Struthio camelus: one gene and its partners. The main gene of each other region encodes a partner of the protein of the gene in region 3 in a complex. Links are inferred from orthologs where the notes say so. Each region holds a gene or a part of one and is shown on either strand. Other genes may lie near its edges. The genes, in order: TUBGCP6, gamma-tubulin complex component 3, TUBGCP5 and TUBGCP4.

The links.
Region 1: the proteins of TUBGCP5 (region 3) and TUBGCP6 are in contact, whole or in part, in a cryo-EM structure (PDB 7QJE), measured with the Homo sapiens proteins. The link is inferred for Struthio camelus from reciprocal best matches to the Homo sapiens genes TUBGCP5 and TUBGCP6. Residues at the interface, in NP_443135.3 of Homo sapiens: Asp211, Asp212, Arg213, Trp215, Leu216, His219, Val220, Val221, His222, Trp225, Ser230, Phe232, Pro233, His234, Leu238, His239, Ser240, Asn241, Leu242, Leu264, Val265, Thr266, Glu267, Thr268, Gln269, Arg272, Val302, Thr303, His304, Leu305; in NP_065194.3 of Homo sapiens: Glu290, Ala291, Ser292, Lys293, Arg294, Arg295, Cys296, Trp297, Glu298, Arg299, Val300, Gly301, Cys302, Pro303, Pro304, His306, Arg307, Glu308, Glu309, Pro310, Tyr311, Leu312, Glu314, Lys322, Arg325, Leu326.
Region 2: TUBGCP5 (region 3) and gamma-tubulin complex component 3 share a complex: the UniProt entries of both Homo sapiens proteins name them as parts of the gamma-tubulin ring complex. The link is inferred for Struthio camelus from reciprocal best matches to the Homo sapiens genes TUBGCP5 and TUBGCP3.
Region 4: the proteins of TUBGCP5 (region 3) and TUBGCP4 are in contact, whole or in part, in a cryo-EM structure (PDB 9I8M), measured with the Xenopus laevis proteins. The link is inferred for Struthio camelus from reciprocal best matches to the Homo sapiens genes TUBGCP5 and TUBGCP4. Residues at the interface, in XP_018102626.1 of Xenopus laevis: His233, Leu234, His235, Leu238, Ile241, Trp242, His245, His300, Met301, Thr302, Asn304, Cys305, Ser308, Val309, Gln312, Ala392, Ile393, Leu395, Asp396, Lys397, Arg410, Leu441, Asp442, Tyr443, Asp444, Asn445, Val446, Gly447, Glu448, Ala449; in XP_018110859.1 of Xenopus laevis: Met1, Ile2, His3, Glu4, Leu7, Tyr12, Pro13, Gly14, Ser15, Ile16, Gln29, Pro32, Phe33, Glu60, Thr63, Gly64, Ile84, Arg87, Ala88, Arg91, Arg101, Leu105, Gln109, Leu112, Pro115, His116, Leu117, Val178, Gly181, Val182.

The regions. Positions count from the first base shown.
Region 1 is NC_090942.1:22,790,448-22,798,262, reverse strand, and holds the start of TUBGCP6 (gamma-tubulin complex component 6), read left to right. Parts: upstream 1-4,809; 5' UTR 4,810-4,908; exon of another isoform or gene 4,909-4,959; intron 4,960-5,496; 5' UTR 5,497-5,563; coding exon 5,564-6,310; intron 6,311-7,077; exon of another isoform or gene 7,078-7,147; coding exon of another isoform or gene 7,148-7,159; intron 7,160-7,812; coding exon 7,813-7,815. Other genes in the region: polyamine deacetylase HDAC10, read left to right, coding at 167-352, 2,212-2,371, 3,093-3,118. UniProt on the Homo sapiens protein: Component of the gamma-tubulin ring complex (gTuRC) which mediates microtubule nucleation.
Region 2 is NC_090942.1:157,251,719-157,258,690, forward strand, and holds the start of gamma-tubulin complex component 3, read left to right. Parts: upstream 1-3,970; 5' UTR 3,971-4,281; coding exon 4,282-4,357; intron 4,358-6,972. UniProt on the Homo sapiens protein: Component of the gamma-tubulin ring complex (gTuRC) which mediates microtubule nucleation.
Region 3 is NC_090942.1:148,792,351-148,799,170, forward strand, and holds the start of TUBGCP5 (gamma-tubulin complex component 5), read left to right. Parts: upstream 1-3,800; 5' UTR 3,801-3,918; coding exon 3,919-4,067; intron 4,068-6,820. UniProt on the Homo sapiens protein: Component of the gamma-tubulin ring complex (gTuRC) which mediates microtubule nucleation.
Region 4 is NC_090953.1:213,787-221,290, forward strand, and holds the start of TUBGCP4 (gamma-tubulin complex component 4), read left to right. Parts: upstream 1-4,486; 5' UTR 4,487-4,571; coding exon 4,572-4,649; intron 4,650-4,755; coding exon 4,756-4,884; intron 4,885-5,376; coding exon 5,377-5,499; intron 5,500-5,993; coding exon 5,994-6,047; intron 6,048-6,527; coding exon 6,528-6,584; intron 6,585-7,176; coding exon 7,177-7,256; intron 7,257-7,504. UniProt on the Homo sapiens protein: Component of the gamma-tubulin ring complex (gTuRC) which mediates microtubule nucleation.

The DNA of each region.
Region 1 (7,815 bases), about 130 Mb from region 3:
CAGTATTGAATAAAGCTACATTTTTAATAGATTGTTGTGAAATCAGATCAGTATCCTATTTCTTAGGTCAAGTACAAGTTTTTTGAGGTTCATCTTATTTCTCTATTTTATATCTGTGAATTTTGAGCTTTACATTTGTGCTAAATTGTTTCCATTTCTGCTAAAGGGTGCTGAAGGAAATGACTTCTTTTCTGCTGTATTTGGATTCATTCTTCCTGTAGCATATAGTTATCAAGCCAACTTAACAGTAATAGCTGTTGGACCAAACAGGAGCCTTGGAATAAATGGGATTTCTTTGCTTTTTGGTTTACTACGAGGATTAGCTGAGTCTCGAATTCTTGCAGTGATTGAGGTAAGAAATGGTGCTAAGCCATGATCATCTAAAGTGCGTGGGACAGAATTCAAATTGAGCAGCAGCGTGCTGCCCAGTAGAAAATACTGGTTATATCTACACTGTCTTGGGTACCTCTGAGTTCATGGCACAAATAGCCCAAGTTTCTGTCTGTGGGGTCAGAGCTTGAGTATAAGCTGTTGCCATCCCTATGCCTGAGAACCAGATCAGACAGAAATACGTACTAAGCTGTAGAGAATCTGCATGATTGAGAAGGCCATCCCTGAACTAATGGTTATGTCTATAGAGAGGTCTATAGAGAACAGAGGTTGTTCTGATGATTTGCCTCAGCTTGGAGCTTAGCTTCCTTGTCCACTTGGGATTCCACAGCTCGGAGATCTTTCTCAAAAATGAACGCTTGCTCTCATCTGGGAAAGAAACGATACGGTCTCTTTTCATCAAATATGGCTGAAAGCAGCACATTGTTCTGTTTATCCTAAAACTCTATAGATTTCCTCTCTGTCTCTGTCCCATGCTGGGCTCTATCACACACAGCTTCCATGTAAATGGCATCTAAATGACTACATTAAAATGGCAGGAATCTTTAAGTAAAATTGTCATAATAGATAAACTGAGAACCCATTTACCCCAGCTTCCTGTTTCTGACAGAGAGCGTGGGAAGGAAACAGAAAGATAAGTATTCGTGGCTCTTTCCCTAGCAGAGTGTTTCCATACCTGATTAGGTATTACCTGATTAGGGATTCCTAAATTTAAGAAGACAGAGGCTGTATCCAGACCATTATGTGTAATAAGTACTGAGAGTGTATAGTCCATGAATCTTGTCTAAACTGTTCAAGAATTCAGTTCTCCTCTTGGCCTCTGCAACATCTCGTGGCTGAGTAACACAATCGCTGTATTTCTGTGAAAAAGTAACCTTTGATTGTTTCTGTGCCTTTTGGTTCTTCTGTAATGAGAAACAGTGAATAATTGTTCACATAAGCGATTTTATTCTTATCTGCTCCAGCAACTATCCAATTAAAGTCATACCATTCATCAGGCTGCCAATTAAGTGGATTTGACATACTTTATTCTGTAGTCTTCTCAAATGTTATTCGATTTACTGTGCTGATACATAAATTGTCTAAGCTAACATAATTTATACATTGATGTACGGTATACAGAAGTAGTTTATTTGCACACTACAAATTAGTATGAAATGCAAAGACTCACTGACAGTCTGGAGGGTAAATTCAGAGATAACAAGGAAGTTAGACATATGCCTTGAAGAAATAACTGAAATACAAAGTTTTATGTTGGTACTATGCGAGTAGCCCTGTAGCAGGATTTTCTAATACCATGTAGATTTTCTAATGTTTGCTTTGCTTTTTAGCATAATTGAAAATTCACTTTCATCCATTTAAAATAAAATAGAGTTGTGTTCTTCAAAATAGTTGTTAAGAATCTTCATATATTATGGATACTTCATAAAATAATTTCTCTGAGCAAGTGACATTGATTTAAACTGAAGCAAAATGTACCACTATAAATGATGCATGAAGCAAACGAGCTCCATTCTTTCCTTCCCTCCCTTTCTCACGTTTTCTACCTTTAATCCAGGATTATTTATTTTCCTTCATAAAAGGGAAACTGAGATTCTTTCTCTATTTGGAAAGAAAAAAAAAAAAGCTTTGTAAGATATTAAAATTAATTCTTTTTCAGAAAAATCGTAATTTTGGCAACTTTTCATTGAAAAATTGGAAGTTGCTCGTTCTTGCTACTAATACTACCAACTTCATTACAAAAACTTGTTTTAAAATATTTCATGTATTACTAAAACAAAGAATGTTTTGATCCTAGAGTATTTTTTTCTCTTGCAATAGAACACAGAGATAAATCTAATGCAAAGTGTAGCTACAGCCTTAGCGGGTAATTCTAGACCTGACTTCGGAGTCTGTGCACCTCCTACCCAAGAAAAAGTACATACATTAAAAATACTAAGAGAGCAGCTTCAGCAGGAATGGAAGATGCTTCGGTGTTCAGGTAAGTCATCTCTTTTTATCTTTAGTTCTTACTAATACACGTAAATTTCTGAAAGATGATAAAATACAGCTAGATTAAAGTCAGTGTGAGTTCTTCACTGATCTGATGGGAACAGGATGAAACTTTAAATGCTTTTGATTCTGCTGCTTGAGCCAAAAAGCACTAAACTGTAACACAGTAACTGTACTCTAAGGAACTTTCAGTATTGTTGTTCCAATATTTTATATTATTTATCCTGAAATGAAACTACCAAAATATTTTAAAGAATCATTATCAGATGTACACTGGCTCTGATTGTTAACTTTTTTTCTGAATACAGTTCAGAATCTGCTAACATTTTGATGTATTTAACTTGACTCCAGAAATACCCGAAACGCAATAGTGATTACTTGTACTTAAAGTATATTCATAAGTAGTTAAGGATCAGGTAGTCTATTTGGATAGGAATCAGGTTAAGCAGGTGTACATGCTTTGAAGCATGCTTATCTAGAAATATTTCGCTATTGAATAACTTATGTTTTTTAGCCGAAATGCCGTAAACTTAAAGAAAAAATGATAAAAGTGGGCATACCTCTCTGAAATAAGATGTCCTCCTTTCTTTCAGAGGAAAAGGTCAACAGCAGTGGTCTGATTCTGATAGAAATGTTCTTAAGGGTTTGGGAATTTTGGTGTGAGCTTGACTAATTGTTGGTTTTTTTTTTTTTTTGCTGTTCTTTTCTAGTGAAGAATGGGATTTCGGGAAATTGACTTCACTTTAGAATGATTTTACGCAGCCGCAGCAGAAGAAAATGTGTTGCTGTTTGGTTTGCTCTTTAAATCATCAAGGAAAGGATGATTGATCCGTATACAGAACAAGAACCATTAACAATTGTTTCATCTTTTAAAAATATGTAAAATGCATATTTTCATGTCTATATCTAGGGAATTGTACATGCAAATTCTGTATTGGTACCAGTTATGCAAGACTGACTTTTAAAAACTTATTCCTGTGCCTTCATCATTGCACGTTGGGTCCGAGGTTATTTCTGACTGTGAAGTCAAGATTGTTTAATGCAGTAGTTTGACTGCATGAAAGCAGGAGTAGTCTAGAAGATAGGAATCTGAAATGGGCAATCATAATAGCCAGAAATATTTTTAAATTGTTCAACATAACATCAAAATGCTTGCACTGCTGCTACTACCACTCTTATAACGGGAGTTTAAACTTAACAGCAGATCCCTCAGACTAATGAAATCTTTCTTCTGATGTAAAGCATTTTCCTAAGATGGACTTTTCTCTTAATTTTTCTGATAAATAATTGCCTCATTAAGTAGTTGCCGCAGTTAAGAAAGAAAAACAGTGAACAGCAATAATGTATGTATTTCCTTGTATTTCCTTCTTACTTAAATGGTTGAGATTAAATTCAGTCCTATACAGGACATAAGAGAGGAAAAGGATAAGAATATTTTGCATACATATAAATTGCAGGTTATGTAACTGAATAAAGCAATGAAAAGATTAAAATAACATCTATGCAAGAAAGAGCCTTTTTAATGCTTTTATCTGTTTACTAAATCTATTGAGCAAGGAAGCAAGAAATCCCTGATTTGACATCCCTTTATTAGCAGTTTCTTCCGTGGCCTCAGCTGTCCTCCGTGTCTTTCTGGTTCCGTTTCTTCAGCAGGGAAAAGTAGCGTTGCTCCCCGCCCAGGTTTAAGTAGGTCACGTTTATGTGAAGCATTTTGAAATGGAAAAGCTCTGCAGAAACAGGGAGCAGTGTTATGAAATGCAGCATTAAAAGGACTACCTTCTGACCCGGGGTTTGCGTGTTTTAACTTCGGCAGTATCGTTAAAGGAGAAAGTCGGTGGCCTGAAAAGTCTTCCTTGAGTAACGGTTTATACTGGAGTAGTTACCACCACTGCCCTTGCCCATTTGCACATACAGATGTGGTGTTTTTATTACATATTTTTCTAAGATGTTGGTTCTAAGATGTGAACTAAGGGACAGTAACTGTGTATATTTTCAGCAGAATTACTTTGCAAATGACAAGCAAATTGTCTGCAGGGTTGAGTTCTGCAGCTCAGGACACAAATATAAAGCAAACGCGGCTGGTGTCTCTAAGGCAACAGCGTGTGCGTATGTAGCGTGAGTGAACACAGCGTGAGTGGAAACGGTAAAAACGAGCATCCCACTAACAGTCGGTTTCGAGACCTAAATCGGGGCGTCGCTTTAAAAACAGCGACCTGCCCCTCGGTCCGCGTTCAGTTTTGTATCCGTACGGCCCCCGGCGGCGGGGTCCTGCCCTGCCCGTCCGCCTCCCGCCTCCCCGCTGCCCGAGACTCCATCCGTTTCGCCGGGGACAGCGGCCGGTTTCGCGGGGCGGCGGCGGCGCCGAGGGGCCTCAGGCAGCGGCGCAGCCCTTTCCCGCCGCCGCCCGTCGCGCTGCCGTGACGTGGCGGCGCTGGCAGCCGCGCCGAGGCGGAGGGAGGCGGCCGGGCGCCCGCGCTACCGCGGCCCCGCGCAGGCAGCCGGCGGCGGCGGCGCAGCCGGCCCCAGGTACGCGCACGGGGCGGCCGGGGTGGGCAGCAGGCCCGGGGGCCCCCTCCGGTAAGAGGGGCCGGGAGCTAGGCGGGGAGGAAGCTGAGGAGCTCCGTGCGGCGGGTGGAAGGGGCTGGGGCCCCGCGGCTGCCCCCCTCCGTGGGGGGCTGCTGCGGGCCGCCCCCGCCGGGCCGGGCCGGGCCGACGCGCTGGTAGGGCGGCGTCCGCCTGGCTGCCCGCGGCTGTGGGCCGGGCGAGGCGGAGCGGCAGCCGGCCTGCCGGGGAAGGCTGCAGGCGTCGAGCTTCGGGGGACGGATGTTCAGGGGCGCGTCCCGGCTTCGCTCAGGCCGATGCTCCGCCTTCTGCGGCGGTCTGGGTGGGGTGGGCGCCTCAGGCGGCCGCAGGCAAGCTTGCAGGGCTGTAAAATAAGCTTGTGATCCAGAGCCGTAGCGTCATTTTTATAACTCGTATTCTCAGCGTGTGCTAGCCTGGTTTTCGTCTCTCTCGTTTTGGGTTATCTCCATCTCAGTTTACGTTAAAACGTACAGGGGTCTCATATGCATGGGCAGTCACAAGTTGTCTCCTCTTTTTCCTGGTGTTTTCTAGGTTTTCGGATTCAACCAGAGACCCAGCATAAAACTGTAATCGCTGCAAACTGACAGTTGGATTTGAAATGGAGAGCATTACGCAGCTGTTTGATGATTTGTGTGAAGCACACCTGGCAGGTTTGCCGTGGAAGGTCCACCTGGGGAGACGGAAGATTTGCAAGAGGAGGGCTAAGCAAAATCTGAAACGGGTTGCGTACAATGCCCTGTTCATGAACCTTTTTCAAGATGAGGCTCGTAAGCTGCAGTCAAACATTTCCAGGCTTCCAGTGAAAAACAAAATTTTGATGCTGTCTTTCAACTTGAGAGTTGCCGGTCTAGGTGCTCAAGCAGATAGGCTGGAGAGTCTTGTGGAAGAGCTGGAGGCAGCTGATTGCTTACCATTTACGGAGGTTAATTCTGTCTTGGATCTCTTAGTACAGCTTGCTGGAACAGGTCCTCCTCAGCTTGTGCCACAAAAAAAGGACTATTTTCTAAACAACAAGTATGTTGGGAGAAACGTCAAATATCAGGGTTATGATTATTATGATGTGAGTGTATTTGAAGCTGATATACAGTCTCTAATCACAAATGAAGAATGTCAGTTCAATGACACTATTCAAAAGACACTTCAGATAATGGAGGCTGCACCTGGAACGGGACTCCCTGCTATAGGGTTATTCTCACAAAACTATCCTGCTGGTGACAAGTTTGAGAAAGAAACACGGGTCTCGCTCTTCGGTGCTCTTGTGCACAGCCGAACGTATGATATGGACATCAAGTTGGATTTACCGCCAGTGCCTGACAGTGCAGATTTGTCTGGACTTGCAATTAAAGTATGATAGCGTTTGTTTTTGGTTTAGAGTGAATGCATGCTTCAATATGCTGTTTTGAAACTTTTTTTAAATACAAGTTAATCTTTTTGTGTGTGTAATCCAAACATGACGGTGGTGGAATTTAAGCTGGAACAGGGATTCTTTTCTTTGTTGAGAGCCGGACAGGCTTTTCAGGTACAGAGATGTAGGGCAGACAACAAAAGCTTGATGTCATCTATAGCGATGTGCAAAAGAAGTCATCTGGCCATAGGCCATATGAAGTTAAGCCATCAGCTATATCTGTTCCTTCCCCACCTTGGTAATCTTTTGCTTACGTTTTTGCCTGCTTTATATATCACAACTTTGCATTGTTGTTTGTTACTGCTCAGACTGATTGCATGCGTTTCTGACAGGAGTGCTTATGTGTTTTGCTATTCAGATTACACTGCCTTCCTCGTCCTATTTCCTCACCCTATGACATCTTAAGCCAGTTGTTTCAGTTGCTGATTTTCACTGAACTCCGTATTTCCCAATGTCCTTACACCTTTTCAATGGGTACAGTTTCTACTGCATCTTTTTTTTCCTTTTGCTATCCATTCTATTTACTTTTGCTATATTATATTCTCATATAACAGTACTAGGTACTAGAAAAATGGATTTGTTCTTTTTTCCCCCCTTTCCAGTTTTTCAGTGTGTAGGTAGGGTTTTTTTTTTTTTTTGGTTTCTGTACTTTTAATCATTATTTTGTTCCTTCTGTTTAACACATGCGTCGCTTTTGCAATTCCCGTTGTTTGATGTCTTAATAGAAGCCTGAAGGCGGACACATTAAAAAGAAAAAACCCTTATGCCATTTAATGTATGCACATCAAGGTAAGTTGTAAGTGAGGGAAGGCAGAGCCTTTTCCAGTAAGCACTGTGCCCTTTCCATCGCACTGGAAAATTTCTTGAGGAACATGCTGTGTTTTACATGGGTGTGTCTTGTCAAGGTTGGCTTCTACTAAAACTGGATATTGCCCTGCCCGTACAACTCCTGTAGAAATGGGCAGGATTTGAGGGTGCGGTGTTGAGGGTATAGGTACGTGCAGCTTTTCTGCATGTGAATAGGTTTAACAAATGGAATTGACCATAGTTAACGAAAAATTTACAAATTTGAAGAGTTGGAGCCTGAATCATTTGTTGAAAAGAAATTCTGAGCAGTATTATTTTACTGGAGTGTTGCATATTGCTGAATGTCCAGAGATGAAATTCTCGGTCAGTTGGCGTGCTTACAAAAGGAATAAGTTTCAGTCTTAATACCAACAAAATGTATTATTTTGATGATGATCATTGTTTTATGTATAGACATTTGTACCTACAGTTGTAACAGATGAAAGAATGCTTACAAGAGAAACTTAATATAGGAGGTAAAAACAGATTAAAACATGGAGTCACTGGATCACAAATGATAGCAAAACATGTTCTTCATTAGCCTAAGTTTCTCCGGTGGTATGATTTCACGTGTGGCGTATGAACTCTTTTGACAGGTT
Region 2 (6,972 bases), about 8.5 Mb from region 3:
TCTTTTCTCCTCTGTGATATGAGGAGGACCCACAACTTGACCTTGAGGCTTTCAGTCCTGGCAAATGCAAGAGTTGCTATTGGCCTGAGAAATAGGCAGCAGGGAAATGTGTAAACAAAGTAAGGATAATAAAATGCAAAAACTATCTATCTCTGACGCTGTTACTTTACAGTAAAATTAGCTCCAAAAAACAGTTTGATCTTAAAAAGTCCAATGGCCTCGTGAGTCCTTCTTGCAAAGTACTGCAATCCTTCACGGAGCTTTGTTATTGACTTATGCTATATTTGATGAGTTATTTTTGCCTAGTAGTACTATCACATTTATAGAAATATCTCATTGCAAATACATTGTTACATATTTTATGATTGTTCTGCTACATAGCATTTTTGTATTCAGAGTCTTACTTTGAAAGTTTCCTCCCTTTGTCTACGTCTGAGAAAGAACGAAAGCTTTTTCCATAAAATATTGGAGCCAGATACGTTCAAAACTCATATTGAACAGCTGATGTTTTATACAAAATTAAATATATATTTGGAAATATGATCTCAGTCTTATTACAGAGCTTCGCTCTCCAGGCTCCAAAATTATTGTTCTGCCTTTTTAAAAATAAAATAGTTGTCACAGAGTACCTTTAACTTCTAAAAATGAAGTATTTCAAAAACATTTTTTAGATTTTGACAAAACAGAAGTGTTATTCACAGAATCACTTTATGATGGAAGATGATTTCATGTAAATTTTTCTTGCAGCTCCATATATGTAATATGACCACGGGCAGCACAGGAAAATGCCAAGGAGTAGTTTTATTGAGCTTGCTGGAATGCCGTTTTGCTGGCTGCAGTTATACTGTTCATTAGAATGATACATAATGCTGTCCACTTCTATGTAATCAATAATACTCAGTATTGAGTGGGCTTCAGTGTGTGTGTGTGTGTCTGTATAGCTTCATGTTAGAAGGGAACTCTGTTTATGGCTAAGTAGTGCTGGATAAATAAACACAAGACCTATCAGGAGTCACCACCAGAAGACACTCAACTGCACTGAGAAGCAAAATATTGGTACTATTTCTGGCTTATATGATAGCTAGTAATAGTCATCTAAAATTGTTATTTTATTGTAAATAGTGAAAAAAGAGTTCCAAAATTAAAAAAAAAAAAAGTTGTCCTTAATTTTGCCTTTATATAGCTTATATCATAGTCTCTGGTGTCTCCTAAGTATTTTAAAACACAGGCTTCATTCTAGGTGTTTATGTGAATTCAATAGACTTTCTGTAGGTATATGGCATATATATGTATACATGGAACACATTTCAGGCTCCTCAGTCAACTTAAGAAAATCCTAAATGAAGAGTTTTGAAAACAGAGAGGGGGTAGCAATATTGTTGAAGTTATAACATGCAGGCTATAAGGCAGAACTAATACTCAAGAGGGTTAAACTGGATCAAATTTTCTTTTCATCTGAGCCTTGCTTTTGCACAGGGAAAACATCCATCTGAAATCAAGTCACATCAGTAGAACTAAGGAAGCTTTGTTTCTTGTATTTCCTGGGAACTTGCATTCCTCCTGCCTCCTTCTAGCTACTTTTAACATTATTTCCAGAGCTCTTTGTCTCTTATACCTTCACTTCCTGAGTCTTCTATCTGTCTGGCTGGACAAGAAGCAGCTGGTGCATTGGCTGGTTCAGAGCTAGGTATGTGCTGCCCATGATGTGCGCACCAATCAGCTAATTTGATAATAGCAAACAGAATAGGAAGAACTAAGTTCTCCTTACCTTTCTTTTCATGAGGGCACTAACTTGGATCTTGGTACTCTCTTAACCACAGAACTCTATAAAATGTTTATTAATATCTTTAACTGGCAACGGATCCAACAGTTATGAGAACGTGCTGATGCACAGAACAACTGTATAAGCCTCGTCACCTTAGCCACAATGGGCTAAAAATGAAAAATATGTTCCCAATAATCTAACAGAATTGACTGCTATTACAGTATTTGAGAAGCATTACGTAGGATGCAGATTTGCTGAGGCTGAAAAACTTAAATTAGTCATTGTACTTTTGCTTGCAGACACACATAAGTAGGCCCACTTTAATAGCATGCTCCATATTGTGCTGTTCCATAATGTGTTCTAATTTTAGAGCAGACGCAATTGCCATGGGTAAAACGACCAGCATGAGCAGAAGTATTAGGTTTAATACATCCATTTAAAAGCAGTAACAGGATATTTGTCAGGGACTGGATTTCCTTGGAATCTGAAGATTTTGTATAGCAGCACAACTTCCTGATATTATTGCCACAACTTTTTTTTTCTATGTGAGTATATATACTCCGTATATACTGCTTGATAAATGAATGCCTCCAGGATGAAATTCAAATGTGAAGTGACAGTCAGCAGTAATGACTCACCTACTCTTTGTAGAACCGACGCGTTTCCTTTGGGTAGAGAAAGGAACAGAGATTGTTCCGCTACTTGGTAGGAAAAAACCCACAGTCTCTGAAGCCTTTCAGAATCAGCTTACAAACCCCTTTTTCACATAGGGTCAAATTCTGATAACTTTATTAATGCTGAGTTGTCTGAACGTTAATTTGAGAGTCTAAAGAAAGCATCACTAGGATTGAAAGAGTCATAATGTGAATGGTAAGATTACAATATTCCTGCTACAATATCCCAAATAACCGAAACCCAGATATCCTCAAGCAATTTTAGTTCTTGGCTTGCCGTCATGATTACTTTCTACTAGTAATGCTGGTAATGAGGCAGCAAGGAGTCGAGTTCATTGTTTGCATCCATAATGTTTCCATAAAGGAAGGTCTGAAGTTATATGTTCATAAAAGGCATACACATAAAGTCATGGCTACTCAGAGATGAAGTAGCTGGGTGCCAATACGGGCTGTCAGAAAGAAGTTTGCATAGCAGGAATTGTTTACAGCCAGCAAAGCGCTACGTCCACCTGGCTGCTGCGGCATTTTGAAGCACCTTTACTAGACAAGAGGGAGCTGGGTTATACTGAGCTCCAGCAGCACAGGGATAATAATTATTCCCTAGTGATAGAATTTGAGCTGGACCTAGCGTGAATTGACTGAATACGAGAAATGAAGGAGAGGCATCCTCAAAAGTCAGTATCTCTTTCAGGGAAGTGATAAACTTGAGGAGCAGGTTTGTCAAAGGTCTGGATCCCAGTTAAGAGCATGTTGCCTGAAACAGCCCAAGAGCTAGCTTGATAAGGCAACCTGCTGACTGGAAAATGCCTGAAGCACACCCCTGATTACAAAAGTTACGTTATTGTTTGATGATAAGCTCTGTGTCCAAATGATAGTAACCAATTTGCCAAGCTGTAAGTTTTCATAAAATAAAAACATTGTACTTTTTACATTGAGATTTCTTTAGTGATTTCAGCATAGTTGGCAGATGACAGGTATCTCATCCTTCAGGAGTGGCAAACACCTCAGGGGTACCGCTTTACTCTCCAACGCCAACCACAACAGCAGGAGACTGGGGACCTCAGCGGGATGCATGGGCTGCACATCCACAAGGCAGCGCAATGTAGAGAAGATGTCGATTTGAGATATTGAAGTATTTTGCAGATCTGCATTGATTTGTAACAATTTTATGTGGAAAGGTTATCAACATGCATTGATATTTTTCCAGGCTTAAAAAAAAAAAAAGTAAGTTAATGTCAATTATACTTCACTGTAAATTATAGCGTGATAGCAAGGCCGTGAGCGACTTGCTCTTCTGGGGGCAGAAACGAGAGGATTTGATCTCTTTCGGTTTGGGGAGGGGGATGAAAGGACAGTTTCAACAAGTGGAAAGTGGTCGCAGGGTGGGAATTTTCAGTGTTTGGGGCACCTTCGGCCGGGGTTGGCTTGCGCTGCACGCCTCCGGGGGTGGCTTGGCCACGGCCACGGCCACGGCCAGGGCGGCACCGCCGGGGCAGGCGGACCCAAGGGGGGCCGGGGGCCGAGCGCGCGCCCGGAACCTCGGCGCTGCGGCTGCGGGCGGCGCGGGGGAGCGTGTTCGGCGAGGCGCGCTCCGGTGCCGCCCGGCGCGCAGGGGCATTGTGGGCGCTCGGCTGCCGCCGCTGCGGCTTTCGGCGGGTTCTGTTAAAATGGCGCCTTAGGTAACGGCCGGGTGATCGGAGGTGTCGTCGGGGTCGCGCGCCGGTTAGAGGAGAGGAGCCTCTTCTCCTGTCCCTCCCCTGTTATCCCGCCGCGTCTCTCCTCGCTCCCGCCCCTGCCTCCTTCTCCTCTTCCCTCCCCGCCGCCTCCCTCCCCCGGGCGAGGATGGCGAGTCCGGACCAGAAGTCGCCCAACGTCTTGCTGCAGAACCTCTGCTGCCGCATCCTGGGCAAGAGCGAAGGTAACGGCCCCCCCTCCCCCCGCCGCGCCCCCCTTGGCGGCCGTTGGGTCGCGGAGCAGCCTTCCTCCCCCCCCCGCCCCCCATCCCCGCGCGCGCGGAGCGGGGCGAGGCGGCAACGGCCGGGCGAGGCGGCGGGGGAGGGTCGCGCTGCCCTGGCGGTAGGGAGGCGGCGGCCCTGGCCGAGCGGGCTGGCGAGGGCCTTCCCCCGCGGCGGGCAGCGTGTACGTATCCCCAGCCTGACCCCCGCCCGCCGGCGGGCGGGCGGCTCCGCGCTGGCGGCCCGAGAGAGCGGCTCCGGGAGGCCCTGCCGCCGGCTGGGGATGGGGGGCGGTCGCGCCAAGCCTGAGCTGTGGGCTGCTTGGGCGCTCTGCGGCAGGGAGGTGGGCTTGTCACACCTCCGTGTCCTCCCCCGGCAGCGCTCCCCTCTGCTGTGGAGTGGGGCACTGCTGCTTGGGTGGCTGGAGCAAGGGGTGGCTTATGTATGTCTTCATAAACCTCCATCTTCCTCGGATGCCTCCTCGAGTCTGGTAACTGCTGTGGCAGCTGAATGAAACCTCCTAGATCATCTGTATTTTTGCTGTGATGTTCTAGCGAGAGGTTGAATCTCGGGGTGTTTGCATAATTTCTGTCTGTTGCAAGCAAGGCAAAGCTTCTGTTTTTAGCAGGCGGTTGGAGGGTGGAAAGGAGGAGGTGCATCTGCTATGACTCCTTTCTAAGTGCTATCGGAAAAAATAGCAATGCTGTTTATAAGCATTGCTCACCAGAGAAATTTATGACCTGCCTTGTGTTCTGTCCATTTTCTCGTACGAACATGGAAGAAAGCCACATTTCGTATTAGCTGCCAAGTCTTTTTTGTGTTTTTCTCTTGCCACTGTTTTCCCAAAAGTCACTGGGGGTTACCTTTAGAAATCTGCATGACAGTAACAGTAATAATTTTGAGTACTGACCTATTGTAAAGAACTTAGTTCAGTCTGACTGAAATGTGGCCTATGAATGAATTACTGTTGTCTTTGAAGTCTGGAAAATGAGCAACAAGGTGCAGAGGTATATATATTTGTTGTCTTATTATTTCATATTTTTTCACTCTATCTATTGGAGAGCTGAGAAGCTTGGAGGAGTTTGGAATCTCCTTGCCTTCGCTGGAGTGTTGAATAGGGACCCTTTCACAGAAACATCCTTTAAGATGTTGGTTACTGTTTTCTTTTGTTTGTTTTTGCCTTAAAATCCTGTTCCCTTTCTGTTAGTATGTCTTTTTTTCGGTCTTATGTGGGCTATTCCGTACTTTGCAACCAACCCCCTTCAACAGGATTTGAGTACTTTCCTTAATTTCAGTGAGGAACTATTTATATCCTCTGATAAGAGAGCAGATTCCAAAAATCACTTTTACAAATTGCTCCTGAGTAAAATAAAAATGATATTTCAGCTTGTAATGCTAGCTTCTAAACTGTGTAATACCTCCTGCAGTTTTTATGGAGCCATATGTTTATTTTAGCAGCTCGCTTAATTATATATTAAAGGGTATTTCACATCAGCATACAATTATAAGATGCTATTGGAACCTTACTTTTAAAGCTGTTTCTCATCTTTGAAATAACTTGGAAATATTTTTCTAATGCAATTACAGTATTTTTATATTCAAGAGCACTTCAAACTTTCACAAGAAAATTCAAATTATTGTGCTAATTCCCCCACCTTTAAAAAAAAAAAAAAAAAAAAAAAGGAGGGGGGAGAAATTGACCTGCATTATTAGAGCAGTGGAGACATCTGTTAGGTTCTTATGTTGTCAATGTTGAGTTGCTGAATCCTGTTTTCTTGATGACTCTTTTTTTAGACACGTAGGGAACTACAGTATGAATTGATCTAAGTTTGTGTTGGTAAAGAGCATTTTAGTTAGGTATGTGACATTTGTAAAACTTAAACAGAGAAGAAGAATAGAAATAGAAAAGTATCCTGCATTTATCAATTGTGGCATGAGTGTTAAGGAGAGGCTGGCTATTTCTGCTGACTTTGAATCTAGCCTTCCTTTTGGAGCTGTAATTTCTATATGTTTTTCTCCGTTCTGAATGTTGTAATAAGTTTATTTGCAAGCTCATATATGCTTGCATGCACTAGCCTGCAAAAAAAGCAGGACATGAAATTTTTTTTAATAAGCGTTGAACTTATTCCTATATGCTAGGCTTCCACTCATGTAACTAAAAGTGTTCCCTCCTTCCCCCCCCACCCCATGTGTGTGTGACTGATGAAAGAGGAAGCTTGTAGGAAGTTACCCATAATCGTACTAAGTTGCTGCATGCCACCTGTAGTCTACTGCCTCTGATCACTTGCGGGTTACTTTCAAATTGTTACTTCAAAGATGACCTCAAATTAAGGTGGGTTGTCTGCCCTGTTTACTATTACCCATATCTTTATGCATATGAGAGATGGAAACCTATCCTTACCCTGTTCTTTATCCTCATGTTAGGAGGGATCCTGACACTGAAGACTCGTCCTTCTAACATAAGGCTTTTCTTGACACAGTAAACTCTATTATGTACTTTACTTATCAACGCAGCTATTGGAGAGCACCTCCCTGTTGTTCAGGCTTTTAACTCTTATTTTCTTTCAGCACAGGAAAA
Region 3 (6,820 bases):
TTTTAAATGTATGTTCCATCAGTCCTGCAGAATTTATCCTGTGCTGTGCTGGCAGCAGAGGTGACTAATGAAAGTGATGGAAGATCTGGCTTGTTTCACGCATTAAGTGTGAACCTCACGTAGCCGACTTGTGTAAAGGTTCATGGTAACCAGGCCTCCATCTTATATATTTCATCTCATATATTCCTTCTCCTACTCCGGAATCCTACTTGTCAAATTGTCTTGTCAAATGAAGCTGGGAAACAGGAGGGAGATTGGAGACAGCATACTTAGAGCAATCTCACTGAAAAACGCACTGCTCAGCAAAAGCCTTGTCCTGTAATTCCTCCTTCAATATGGGACTGCATCTAAACATTTACATGACATTATACACACGTGTTCTACATATGACCTAATTCTGTGACCAAGGAAACACTTTGCTGAGATACATCTAGTTCATAGCAGTGTGACCTGGAAGGACAGCTGGGTGGGAAGTGACAGTTGCCACAAAAAAACGGCAAGGAATATAAGGAAAGATATTGAGCTCCGTAGCATTAAAATGCAGTTTTGCTAAAAAATTAATAGTTTAAATCTATTTCTTTGTCAGATAAAGAATATTTATCAGTGGTTACGATTTTTGTCAGCTCCAGCCTTTGTGTCCATCCCCTGCCCAGAGCTCCCTCTCTCAGCTCTGACTTGGCCGCTTCTCCTCAACTTCAAGCATCTCCATTTCAACTTCTAGCCTGGGTCTCAAATCTCCATTCTTCAGGTCTGTGGTGCTGTCTCTTTCTTTCAGACACACAGAAATGCTGACAGCAGTGGTACATATCTGGACTACAGAAAGTATACTGAAAGTCTGAGAAGCAGGACTGTGATTAGGAAGAAGACAAAACTGCTGAGTACTAGGCTGGAGACAGGAAGAACTATGGCAGCGGGAGGAAAAGGAAAGACTGTGGAATTACTGCTGTGTTATATTGTTCTGTATTTTTATCCAAATGTCCACAATTTTATTGGTTTTTCTTTTCATCCGGGAGGTACTCTCTCTTTAAAACTGATGTCGACTAACTTTTGTATTGAAATAAAATACCCTGCCTTGCTACTGGGGAAAACAAAGGTAAAATAAGGCTTATGATGAAAAAACTGATTAGTAGAGTTAAAGCCTTTCAAGAGGCAGGGACCACAGATGTCAGGCATTTGTCCCAATCCCTGTATTCTGTTTTGAAAATCGGCCAGAGATTTCTGATTCACCGGCCACTGATACTGCTCTTTCCTTTAGGCTTTAGCGTATGGGGTTCTTTCCTCACCTCTTGAAACCCCCAATAAAATGGATCAGTGAACTGATCTGGAATAAAATACCTTGCAAAACAGAAAAAAAGATTATTTTAAACCCGAATCAGTTCCCTGATTCAGTTCATTGTGTGGCTTCGCAAACAGCACAATTGAGGGTGTGGCTGTGAGGGGGAAAAGGACTTGGATAGAGCCGGGAAGCAGGAAATCTTTCAGAGAGCATCGTCATTACAGACTGTGTTTCATGGAACTCAGCTTGCCACAGGACAACTATTAAGACCTGGAATCCTTCCTGCTGGGAAAATCTCCCCCCCCCTCCTCTTTTTTTTTCTGATGGGGGTTCTGATACGTGTGGCTGCAATGCTTCTCATACCATGAGGGGCTCAGATGACACACACATCCTACCATCATGCTACAAAGCCTGGAACTTGCTCTCTGAACAGCAATCAAAGTGATGGCACGCGTACGCTGAAGTATACAGAAGTGATAGGCTAAAAAATGCAGTATCATTGTTCAAAGAGCACCTGAAGCTTTAGTATCTAATAACTTTGTTTAAGCGCGATTCGTAGCATTCCAAGTATTGATTACTATGGCATATACCATCGGAGCGATTACCGCGTACAACTTTCGTTAACACCTAAGGCAACAGGTCATGACCCAAAACTTTATTTGGCCAAACACTGTTCAAATATACAGTAAAAAGACTGTTTCTAATCCAAAGTAAAGAATGGATACAGAGAGCATTGGAAATATAGGAATACTAATAAAGTTTTACAGATCTTTTCTCTGAACGCTTAGTAAAGGCTTAGTAACACCCCTGAAGCAGTGCCCCTCTGAGCTTATGTTCATGCTAAGTTTCCCACCTGCACGTGCACTGAGACCATCACTTCCTTGCAGTTTCATACATGAAGCTTAAGGTATGATTCAGCCTAGCAGTATGAAAGCGTATTCGTGTTCCTTAATCTATTACAATTTACAAGAATTTCAATATTATTACTGTTAGGATTATAAAATCATTACTACTACTGTACTTTTACATATTTTTTACATAATGTTGGTAAATGTAATACGTTTTAAAATCCTTTTCTTTCGGGTAACTTCTTTCAAAAAAGCTTTTAGGTTTCGGGTTTTGTTTGTTTTTTTGCCTGGAGTTCATTTGTTGAACCGTATGGAATAAAACTGTATGCAATAAAACATTTGCTTTCCCAAAAAATTATGTATTACTCTTCAAAAGTAGTTGGAAACCATTCAAATTTGTTCACTATACAGTGGAATTCGGATTTAAGTCTAAAAAATACTTTCTGAACAGCCTGACTCCACATTTTCAGACATTATCTCCTGATTCCTGTATGGATTTAAACTGTCCTTGTCCCTCTGCCTTTCCAGCCTCTCATCCCACTGTTGCACTGTCCAGTGAGTAAGGACACGTGGAAGGGTAAGAGTAACTTAAATCTATCTCAATTTAGAACGGACTCAAAAAGAAAATTTCTTTCTCTGGCCTTTGTTTCTACCGCTCAGTCTGATCCATTGGCTGCTTCCTCAGCTGTGCCGATATAAACATTTTTATAGTGAAGAGGAATAAAAGACTATTTGGGAGGGGAATACAATTCAGTATTTTTTGGTAAAATCAAATTAGCAAGACAAAGCCTAAAAATAAGGAAAGGCTATGACAACTGCAGCAGAGCAGGGACTGTTATCTATCGACAGTAAGGATATTTTCTACTAATTTGATTAATTTCTTCCTAGGACGGTCACGGTCAGGACACTGTTACTGCTACACTATAAAACCACATTAAGCAACAGAAGCATTGGAAGTTGCTCAGTGTCCTGTGTACATTTGACATAGAGGACAAAACTGAACTGGTTTCTTACTCATCATCATGTATACAAGTCACGTACCTCTTACAAAATGTCCACCAAAGATTATTTATTCCACTGAGCAAAAGTCGAGGTTTAGCCAGGGAGGAGCACACCCAACTGCTCCAGAATAGCTTAGTAGCAGCACAGCTGCTTTGTGTGGGATGGTCTTAACAAGAAGGTGAGATGCACTACATAGCAGGGTGGATGGTGCTGCAAAAAGCCCGGATCTCTAAGAAAAATGTTGAAAAACAGAGCGCCTTCCCCGGACTGACAGCAGATCCTCCTCGCTATCAAGACACTTTGGTCTGCTGGAGGGAACTGGGCAACGTCGAGCCTCATCTGAGTTACCACAGAGGAGCGAACCACTCTTCTGGGCTGTGACATCCTGAGCGATCGCACCTCTGTGGCAGCGCTTCTGACACAACCGACGCTTCCTCGAAGGGCCGCAGCGGTAGGGCTGCACGGCCACTGCCAGCCCCGACACCTGCAGCCCCCCCCCCCCCCCGGCAACCCGCCCCGCCCCCGCGCTGCCCCTCAGCCGCAGCCCGCCACCGGGCACCAGCCAACGGCAGGGCTCGCGCCGCCCCGCTCACGTGACTACAAACGGCTTCTCCCCGCCCTCGCCTCTTCCCGCCGCGCGCATGCGCGCCCGCCCGCCCTGACCACGGCGGGCCGGGGCAGGGTCTCGCGAGAGGCCGTTAGGAAGCGGCGCGCGCGGGGCGGCGGGCGGCTGCGCGCGCGCCGGCGGCTCTAGCGCGCCCCCCGCTGGGCCGCTGCCCCAGCGGCGCTGCCATGGCGGTGCCGGGACCGCGGAGCCGCTTCGAGCAGGAGCAGGAGCGGGACGTCCGCGCGCTGGTGCGCCGCGTGACCGGCCTGCCGGAGGAGGAGCTCGGCGGCGGCCGGTTCCAGATGGCGCTGAATTTCGCTTGGTCCAACTTCAGGTCAGCGCCCGCCGCTGCGAGAGCCCCTGCGGCCCTCCCCGCCCCCCTCCCCGGCGCACCGGCCGTTGTGGCTGCGCCCGGCCCTTGCCCCGCGCCGGCCTCTGCCCGCTGCCGCCCAGGAGGGAAGGAGCGGCTCTGGGGCCCGGCGCCTCTCGTAGCGGGGCGGTCGGGTGCGGCCTGCCTGGGCTCCGCTGTCGCCTGGCAGCGGGGAGGGTGTTTGGTGGCCGCTGCGCTGCGGCAGTGCCCGGCCGTGGCTGCCTTAACGGGTGTCCAGGATGGCACTGGAGACCGCTTGCAAGCCCTTATCGGAGGGTCGCTGCCTATTGCTCCGGCACTTTTCAGTCCCAGTCTGTCAGGGTTTTTCTCTCGATACTTAAAAAGGGGCCTTTTTAGCATTCTCACCGAGCCGTCCAAAAACTCATGTCTGTCGAACAGAAAATAAAGGAATAGTCGTTATGCCTAAGAGCAAATAAACAGAACTCCACCAAATCGAGATATAGCGCCTGGCCAAGAATACTGCTTTTGAAGGATATCAGTCTGCAAAGACAGATCTGTTTGATGGCATTTAAGCTTACCATAACTACAGTCACCGTTAGCCAGTAATAAAATTAAAGGGATACAGTTACCATACGTTACACTATCTGAAATGTTCTTCTTGAGCTTGCACACACTGTTTTTTTCAGTTATTGTAATTATTGTACCAAGCATCTGCTGGCAGTTTTCGCATAAACTGTTTCCCATTCCCCTTACTGTCAGTTAATTGCTGCCTCTACAGAGCCTTATGTAGTTGCTTGACTTCATGCTCATCGAATTAACATCAATGGTATTTTCATGTCTCATGCCGCTTTAATGCGGTTTTTAGGTGAGCAGCGACATTTACTGCATTGCAGCACTGAGTAGGATTGTGAAACCTATACCTATTATAGACTCAAATAAGACTACTTTACGTAAAACGATAAATAAATATGCGTTGGTCAGTGGCTGGTGTGAGTCTGCGATGTGACAGAGCTGAGTGTCACCCATAGCTGGCATTTTGACAAGTTCAACACTTGGCTAAATATTGAGGGAGGCTAGTGGTGTTCATTGGGAAAGTAGGAATATGGTATTGCAGCTGCTGTCTCACTGTATTTCTTGTATTTACCAGACATATTTTGATTTAATGCATCATAGAATTATATTTGCTGGGTTTGTAGATGCATCAGAATAGTTGCTTGTAGTAGTAGTTATCCTGAGTCTGCAGTTTTGTAATGGTGGCAGGGTTTCTTGAGCTTGATTAAATAAGCCATCGTCTGTCACCTAACTTTACGCTTCTCCCTCTGTTTCAGTGACACAGTTGCTTGTGTTGCTATGTGGTCTTTCCAATTGGGGAAGTGGTGGGTTATTTTTTGAAAAACAACCTGGCAGGGAAAACAGAGGGGACAATGAAGGGTTGACAACAAACAGTTTGGAGTGGGAATATTGGGAAGAGGAACGTGTTTGTGCTGGTATTGCTGTCCAAAAAACCAAGAACTTCAGCCAGAAATCTCGTGTTTCCAACTCATGCACCCTTAGATAACAGTATAAATTCTTTTTCGTTTCGAGTTTGTGAAACGTGTGATTTGTATTATTAGATTCAGTGACATTTCTATACTGTGGTTCTCAGATTCATCTAATTCTTTCCATGCAGTATATTAGTCCTTTTCTATTGATGATTCTCTGACCTTGCCTAAAAAAAATTGAAATACTTTTTTTTTTGTGTTAGAGTCATTAGTTAAAGTGTTAAACAATACTAGGCTAAAGTTACTAATAACTTCCCTTTAGCTTAATGGTTTTCCCTTTCAATGCAGCTTTCCTTTGGTCATCTTTCTGGTCTATTTTTATATATCTTCCAGCTCTTGTACTTATCACCATTTTCCAGTTGAGCTAATGATTTCCTGTGTAAGCTAATGTGCTGAAACAGATGCGATACGCTGTATTTTCTTAGCTTCAATATCAGCTACCCAGTTAATGTCACATTTTATTGTGCTTTCCATTTACTTTAATCTCTTAGTTATTCTTTCCAACATTTATTCCAAAGCCTTACACGCAGCTGAAGTCAGACTAAAGGGGTAGTAGTTAACCAAGTTGTTTTTCTATTTCTTAAATACAGGCATGTCTCTATCCTCCAGTGAAGCTTATTAAAAATCCTTGCTACTTGGCTTGCAGTGTCATTTTCTAGTTCATTTCTTTGACACTGAGATGATTGCCTCTCCAAATTTAGTCCATTAAACTTAGCTTTTGCTCCCTGTTCAGATGCAGTAGTTTTCTTTTTCATCTGTTGCTCGTAGAACAAGGTGATAGCAATTATATGCAGTTGTTACTGGAAGCTGAGGCAAAATGCTCAGTTGACTTTGAGGGCTACATATGGAGAATCTTGAATCTTGATCTAATTCAGATTGCTGTCATATCACGTTTCCAGGTTTTTCTCCATGTATAACTGAAGAGCCTTTTTCCTATTCTAATTTCCTTTGTAAAGTCTAACTTACTTTTCATCAGTCCTAACATGTGCTACTTTCTGTAGTTCATCCTTCGTTATTTTACTTGGGCTCTCTTTTGTTGTTCTTTCTGGCACTCTCCTTTACTATTTTCAAAGCATTTTCATTTGGTTTTAGAGGCCTTTCGATGCAGATATTTTCCCTGTGCTTGTGATGCCAGTCCCAGGTGATTTTTCTGCCTTCAACATGGATCCCTGACAAACATGTTCTTGAGCTCCTCACTCTGGTTAACTTAACTGA
Region 4 (7,504 bases), on a different chromosome or scaffold from region 3:
GTTGAAAGAGACACTAATGAATGTAAGTAATGGGCTATAATGATGATAGTAATAATAATAAGTGATGGCAACAATTTTGTAAGACCATGACACCCCTCAGCTCTTAGTCAAAATGTTTGGTAACAGTTATAATTCTAATATTAATATTTATTTATATTACTTCATATGTGGCCACTCTGCAGTTATACAACGAGAAGACATTTTAAACAATGTTTCTATATAGACTGTGGAGTGCAGAACTGGTTTTGTTCCCCTAAAATCCCAGAATAATTTTTGCACATCTCCATAATCCTAGTGAAAAAAAAAATCATAAACTTGGTCTTGTCTATAAGACCCATTCTGACAAGAATAAAACAAGATTATCACACATTTGCAGTTTCAAAGTTTCTGGCTGAACCTCTTCAAGGTTATACTTGAATCGCTCCTGTAATGGCCCCACCGATCATTGTCTCTAAGATTTCTGGTCTTTGTTACTGTCTCTACTAACTGCTGTTTGTTAGGGTTTGTGTATCTTTGTGTTTAATTTATTGCCTCTCCTGTTTCTTGTCTTCTTTTTTTTTTTTTAATGTTGAATAGCCGCTAGCTAGATAGCCTTTCACAAAGCACTACAGAGGTACCTATTTTTCTCTAGTTTCACCGTTTTAGTTATCAATTCTGTACAAAATTTAATTATTCTTTATTTGGCCTTGACTGCCTAATCACCAGGCTTCCCTGAGGAAACGAGAGCTGCAAAACTCAGTCCTTTATTTAAACTACTGTTATCTGTTCCTTTGCAAGTATTTACTAGCCACTTTCTTTATCGAGAAAGATTATTTCTGTGAATGGTGCTGGGGGGAAAAAAACACAGATTACCTGAAGACTCTGAAGCTGCCATTCTGCAGTCGCTTCAAAATAACCTAGCTGCAGGCTGCCACTGAAACAGGGAATCTCTCATCTCTTGTATCCCCCTCCAAACATTATAGTATATACAACGATCCTGCCTGCCTTTCCAAAAAACCACATGGTCTCTTAGTCCAAAAAAGATTGGGAGATAATAGCATATTCAAACAATGTTCCACTGAAGAATTTCTCATGTATGTCCTCATTTCTGCCAAAGTAAAAGCTGAAGATGGAGTAGGATCTGCTCTAGGTCTCATTTAGCACTAAGAATTCCAAGCCATGACTTATGCTATGACACACAAACCCCTCAGAAAGCTGAGAGAACAGATGTCTTTTGCTGCTCTACACAACATCCTTCATTCTCCTGACTCGTCTCATCCGTAACAGTCATTCCTTAATACTGTTCTTTGCGCTTCAAGTATTCATAGACAATTGAGACCTTTCCCTTTAGATCTCATTTGTCCGGGATAGGTTTATTTAGGTCTGTAACAATGTTTAGATCCCTAATCATTTTTGCTGTCTTCTCTAATTACCCAGTTTAGCTACATGTTCCGTGTTAATGGGCCCAGACTGGCCTGCAGGAATCCAGGCACAATTGCGTCAGTTGAAAATATTTCTATGACTCCTACCCCTCACATATCTGATGATACTGTTTTGTATATGGTCATATGTCAGGCTGTGGCTGCACCAGATCAGAAACGTAGTGGCCAAATGAGACAAGTTGTTGCCCTGGTCTAAAAACGCAGTGCTGTTTCAAAACTGCACTCCCTCAGCCCTGGCCCTCCCATCCTTGTGGCAGGGAACTTTGCAAGAGGCTCTGGGAAAGCTGCAGAGGAAGTGGCTGCCCACTTGGGGGAGGAAGACATGGCCAGCCCCATACCACTTGCTTCTGCAGTGCCAGACCAGCCAGGCAAGACAGGTGAGTCTGGCTCACGATATGGGGTCTCCTCCATCCTATTTGTTTCCAGACTTGCTTTTGCATCCTGACCTCACTTCACACGGCCCAGCAGCCACCTGGGACGCAGCCCTGCATGCACACTCATGCACACGCATGCACACTGTCTGCAGTACTCCACAGGGAAGCCTGGAAGCAACATGACAGAAAAGCCCAGAGCCCAAGTACTGCCCACAGTCGTGGCACGGAGCTGGGATGCAGCCAGAGGCTGCTGGGCTGGCAGAGGAGCCCTCACTCTCCGGAGGCAAGCGAGCCATTCGGCACTCTGAGCTCCCACCATAAAACACTCCCCTTTCTTCCTGTAGCAGCGCAACATCAGCAAGCTTTGTACTGGAAAAGACTTCCTGAATTGGAAAGCTGTGCGCTTGCCCCCAAGTACCAGGTACACTTTCTCTTGAAGTGTCTGTAACGTCCAAGGAAGCCTCAGTTACATGAAAAACCACCCCCATTGCACAATTCTCAGGATACGTTTGTGTGCAGCACAGACTCTGTGTCTTTTTATCTACTCTGTAATGCTGCTTTGCTTCCTCTATATTTGTTCTCATGTAGGACTACCTATAAAGACGCTTGGATTAAAATCTTGAGCAGACCACAATGTTTAGCTGCAAGTAAACGAGTGGGAGTGGGCTGCAGATTTAGATTGTAAAAAGAAGAGACAATGAGGCATCTAGTCTGACCTGTTCTGCAACACTAGCCACAGTTCCTTTCCAAACACTGTGCATCAAACCCATAATTTTTGGCATCCCAAAGGACTCCAGTGATAAAGAAAGTCACTGTATCTCTATTTAAATTGCCTTAATGGTTAATTATAATCTCATCTCTAGTATGATTCACTTCCAACAATTCACTGGCTTCACTGCAGAAATATTAGCGGCTTTTTTAAACCTTTGCTAAAGGAAAGTTCATTCTGCTCTGATAAATTTTATACTCCTCCCTTGTCCCATAGAAGACTCTTATGATTATCACTTTTTGTGGAAGAATGCTACTGTAAGCTTAGTTTCTGCCTGTAGAAGATTGCTATGTTTAGATTCAAGATTCTGTAACAGATTACATGTGTAATACCTATTTCCATAAATAAAATACAAGCATTGCGTTAATAGTACTGTATAATCACCACTAGATGATGTATTTAGTATTTACAGACAAACCATTTTGGGGGAAATGTAGTGAGTCGCCATGCTCTGTATGAATTAAACTATCTATAAACTATCCACAGCATACTTAGCTTTACAATCTTTTGAAAACTGTACGTAAATTAAGCATTGATCAAATCCCACCTGCTAGTGCAGAAGTTTTGGGCAGCAGCACGGGACTGAACCAAAGCCGGGGAAAGACTGCCGCTTATCAAGCAAGGCTGAGGCTGACAACGCTGCACCGCAGATGCAGCTTCCTAAGGGCAGGAGCACCACGAAGTTTTACCAGCCCGGTTGTATACTGCGTTACTTATGCCCACGATAAAAACCAAATGCCTAGCCACCTTCATCTTTAGTCAGACAACGGGGGTTTGTCACCATAACAGAGTTATTTTCTTATACTGATACGTGAGAAACTGATACTGTTGGGGGCTCCTAAGTTATGCCTAAAGATAGGTATAGGAATGTATATGCGCACATGCCAGATGAAATGAGAAAATCCTACTCTTTAAAGGATGGGGTTATGCTCAAGGAATGTATTATTCCCACAAGAAGTTTTGCTACCCGTATTTCAGACCTTATAATGACAAGTAAAGCGATGATCATGAACCAATTACATTTTTTAAAAGGGAGAGTTAACAGACACCAGTTCCAAGCAATATAAATTATACTTAACGCTAATTTTCCCTAAATGAGGAAGTAATGAGAAAAACTGCGCAAGAAGACACTGCCAAAAATAAGAAAATGAAAAAAGTTCGTTAAAGAAGAGTTTATTAGGCAACTCCACAATTTTGAAAGAGGGCAGTTTCTGTCAAAAGATTATCTGGTTTAAGAGACAAAGCGAAGGAAAGCAATATATAACAAATAAAGGGGAAACAGGTAACTATGAAGGTAAAGCTTATATCGATAAAGGAAACATTGGCCAAAAATTAAAAAAAAAAGTCCTCATTGGAGGACTGAGGATTTTGTATTATCTTGGAGGAGAGCTTGCGGGTCAGCCCTTGCCATCGCGAGCACCGCCATATTCGGCCGACTGCCACGGCGGCCCGCAGCGGCGAGGACCGGCCCGGCCCGGCTCGGCCCCCCCTCACAGCCCAGCCCGGCCCAGCCCAGCCCAGCCCGGCTCAGCTCGGCTCGGCTCGACTCGGCTCAGCCCGGTCCCCCCTCACAGCCCAGCCCAGCCCGGCCCGGCTCGGCCCCCCCTCACAGCCCAGCCCGGCCCAGCCCAGCCCAGCCCGGCTCGGCTCGGCTCAGCCCGGCCCCCCCTCACAGCCCAGCCCAGCCCGGCCCGGCCCGGCCCCCCCTCACAGCCCGGCCCGGCCCGGCCCGGCCCGGCCCGGCCCGGCTCGGCTCGGCTCGGCCCGGTCCCCCCTCACAGCCCAGCCCGGCCCGGCTCGGCCCCCCTCACAGCCCAGCCCGGCCCCTCCCCCCCGGCCCGGCCGCTCCCGCCACCTCCCTCGGCGACGCGCCCTCCCGCCCTGTCACGGGCGCGTCCGCCCACGCACCGCCCGGCAGGAGGCGGGGCTGCCGCGCAGGCGCGCCCTCCCCTTCCGTCCCGGCGGCCCCCGCGCGGCTCCCGGCGGCCTTGGCGGCGGCGCGGCAGGATGATCCACGAGCTGCTGCTGGCGCTGAGCGGGTACCCGGGGGCCGCCTTCACCTGGAGCAAGCGCGGCGGCCTGCAGGTTCGGCCGCCCGGCCCGGCCCGGCCCGGCCCGGCCCTCGCCGCCCTCCCCCCGCCCTCCCTCCCCCGGCCCGGCCCAGCCCAGCCTCACAGCTCCTCTCCCGCAGGTGTCCCAGGAGCTGCCGTTCCTGCACCCCAGCGAGACCAGCGTCCTGAACCGGCTCTGCCGCCTCGGCACCGACTACCTGCGCTTCGCCGAGTTCGTGGAGCAGTACACGGGCCACGTGCAGCAGCAGGTGGGGCCCGGCCCGGCCCGGCTGCCGGGGGCGCCGGTGCCCGGAAAAAGCCGCCTGATTCTGGCGAGGGAGGGTCCAGGGCTGCGAATATTGAAAGACGGACCAAATAATTTGTGGTTGCTGCAAAGTAGCCAGGGTTCGTGAGCTGTACGGGAAGCTCAGCCCTCGAGTGCTGTGAGCCTTTGTCATGGTCTGCAAAGGGCGCTGAGATCCGAGAGGCATGCATAATCACAAAGAAACACCCGTGGCTACTTGTACTTGGATAGCTACTCTTAGCCCTTGCGTGTGTCTACAGAAGGGCTGAATACCACTTTGCTCAAGCAGCTCTCCTTGTGACCCAACAGTTGTTCTTTCTGGGTGCTTTCCAGTGGGTTAAGGTGCGTTTCAGGATGTTTGGACCTTTGACTGCTGGTGTAGTGCTCTGTTCAGAGGCTTCATTACTCTTTAGACCTACACTCAGGAGCTGATGTAGATTTTATTGTTTGGTTTCAGGACCATCATCCATCTCAGCAAAACCAGAGTGGATTACATGGGATTTATTTGCGAGCCTTCTGCACAGGTCTTGATTCAGTGCTGCAGCCCTATCGACAGGCACTGCTTGACCTTGAGCAAGAGGTAAAGAGAGACTTGGAAGAAGAGGCTCTCTTCTGCAATTGTAACTTCTGCAATTAAGAAGTGGTGGTACCTAAAGAAGTGACAGGATATTTTTCTTTCCACTTCAGGCACAACTTCCAAATTATTCCTGTGAGGGGTCATTGTGAATGACCTTTCATTCTAAGTAATAAGTCCCCTCTAGTCAGTCCAGTGGGTGACCCGTTTGCCTCAGAACCCAGTGTTATCTATTAGACTGTTGTTAGACGATTGTGACTTACGTTTTCAAAATCTCTGAAGATTTTGAATTAAACCCCTGGTGGATTAGCAGCTGTTGCATCTTGGGTACTGTCACTGACCAATAGTTTCATTGTAAGTTACAGGCTAGAATGAGAGATGACCCAAAAATCTGAGAAAAGCTGTGACAACTAACGGTAGACGGCACAGAGCCAAACCTGCTTTTTTACTTACCTGTATCATTATGTTAACTTTTATTAAGAGTTTTGTTGTTGTTACAGTTTCTGGCTGACCCTCATCTTTCCATCTCGCATGTTAATTATTCATTGGATCAGGTATGTCAATGGTGGTTAACAGATAGCGTTCTTTGGTTGTTTTTATTCTCTGATCCATAAATTGCTCTTTGAGTCTCTTGAGAAAATGGATGGGATAAGGAAGGGTTAATCTGTCTTACTTGTTTTGAACCACTCTGAAACTGTAGTCCCTTTATCACGCTTAGAGGATTACTTGCACTTTGACAGAAAGCTTGGGTCCTCTGCCTTTTACTCTGGCACATTCCTCACTACTTCTGTTTAGCCTGAACTGCTACTGGAATATGGTAACTTCATGCCTCTTGGTCCAGTGGAGGGAGGACGTTCTTTCCAGAGATCTCCAAGTCACTGAACGAGAATAGTTCCTGTCTGAGGGGAAAGTGAGATGAGATGATGGTTTGATTAAACTATTATACTCAGCTGCTGTCTATACTCACCCAAGCATAGTTTTTATCTTCCCCTTGCGTAGCAACCTAATTCAACGTTTTGCTCCGTATTCTGCAGTTCCAGTTACTCTTCCCCTCTGTGATGGTTGTGGTGGAACAGATCAAGACTCAGAAGGTAACAGTGAAACCGCAATTAGTTTCTCTTAACAAGATTCCTCTTAAGTTGATTAAGTATTCTCTGCCCTCCCCTCAGAACTGAATGTTAGGAAAGAATCTGGCTTCAGTAATGTGTGTCCTGTTCCTGGTACTACTACGAGTATTGAATAACTTTATGTCACAAATCTATTTACGCTGAATTAGACTTCCTGTTCTTTTTCATTATTACTATGATCTTTGATGATTTGTATTTTATAATTAATTGCCATACATTTTCATTAATTACCATGGAATGTGGTTGGAATGTATTCTTTTTTGAGTCTGCTTTCTCCCAACCTCCCTTGAAAGAAAAAGGCAGAAGCTAATGTTTTCAGAATCCAGAGATGCTTCCTATTTGCTAAGCGAGATTTTTGAGAGACGCTTAGGTGTAGAACTGCACATAAGCCTTTTTGCTCGCTACAGAGAGTATGTTTCATCTCCCTTTCTGAGGGCCATGTACAGCTTGCAAGGGCAGTTCTTATTAGCTGAAAGTGTAGTGTTTCAGTGTCTGGAAAAAATCTGCACTGGTGTCCAAATGACAGACCTAATCTGCCCACTTTTTCTTTCTGCAGATTCATGGATGTCAGATATTGGAGACTGTCCACAAGCACAGCTGTGGGGGGTTGCCTCCTGTTCGCAGTGCTCTTGAAAAGTATGTAGATGCAGCAATAACATTATTTCATTCTTATGTAGCAGCTAGAGTTAGCGCTGGAGTGTTTTATCTTACTTAGAAAGCAGGTAATGTCTCAGAGTAGGAGTGTCACGCAGGGCAAACTGTACCCATTGTTTATCTATAGAGGTTTACAGCAGCAATTCACGCTTTCTCCATACTTTGGACTGCAAAGGTCTTACTAGACTTGTGAGGCATCTCTTAGGGCTAAGGAAAGTTCAGACTCTACG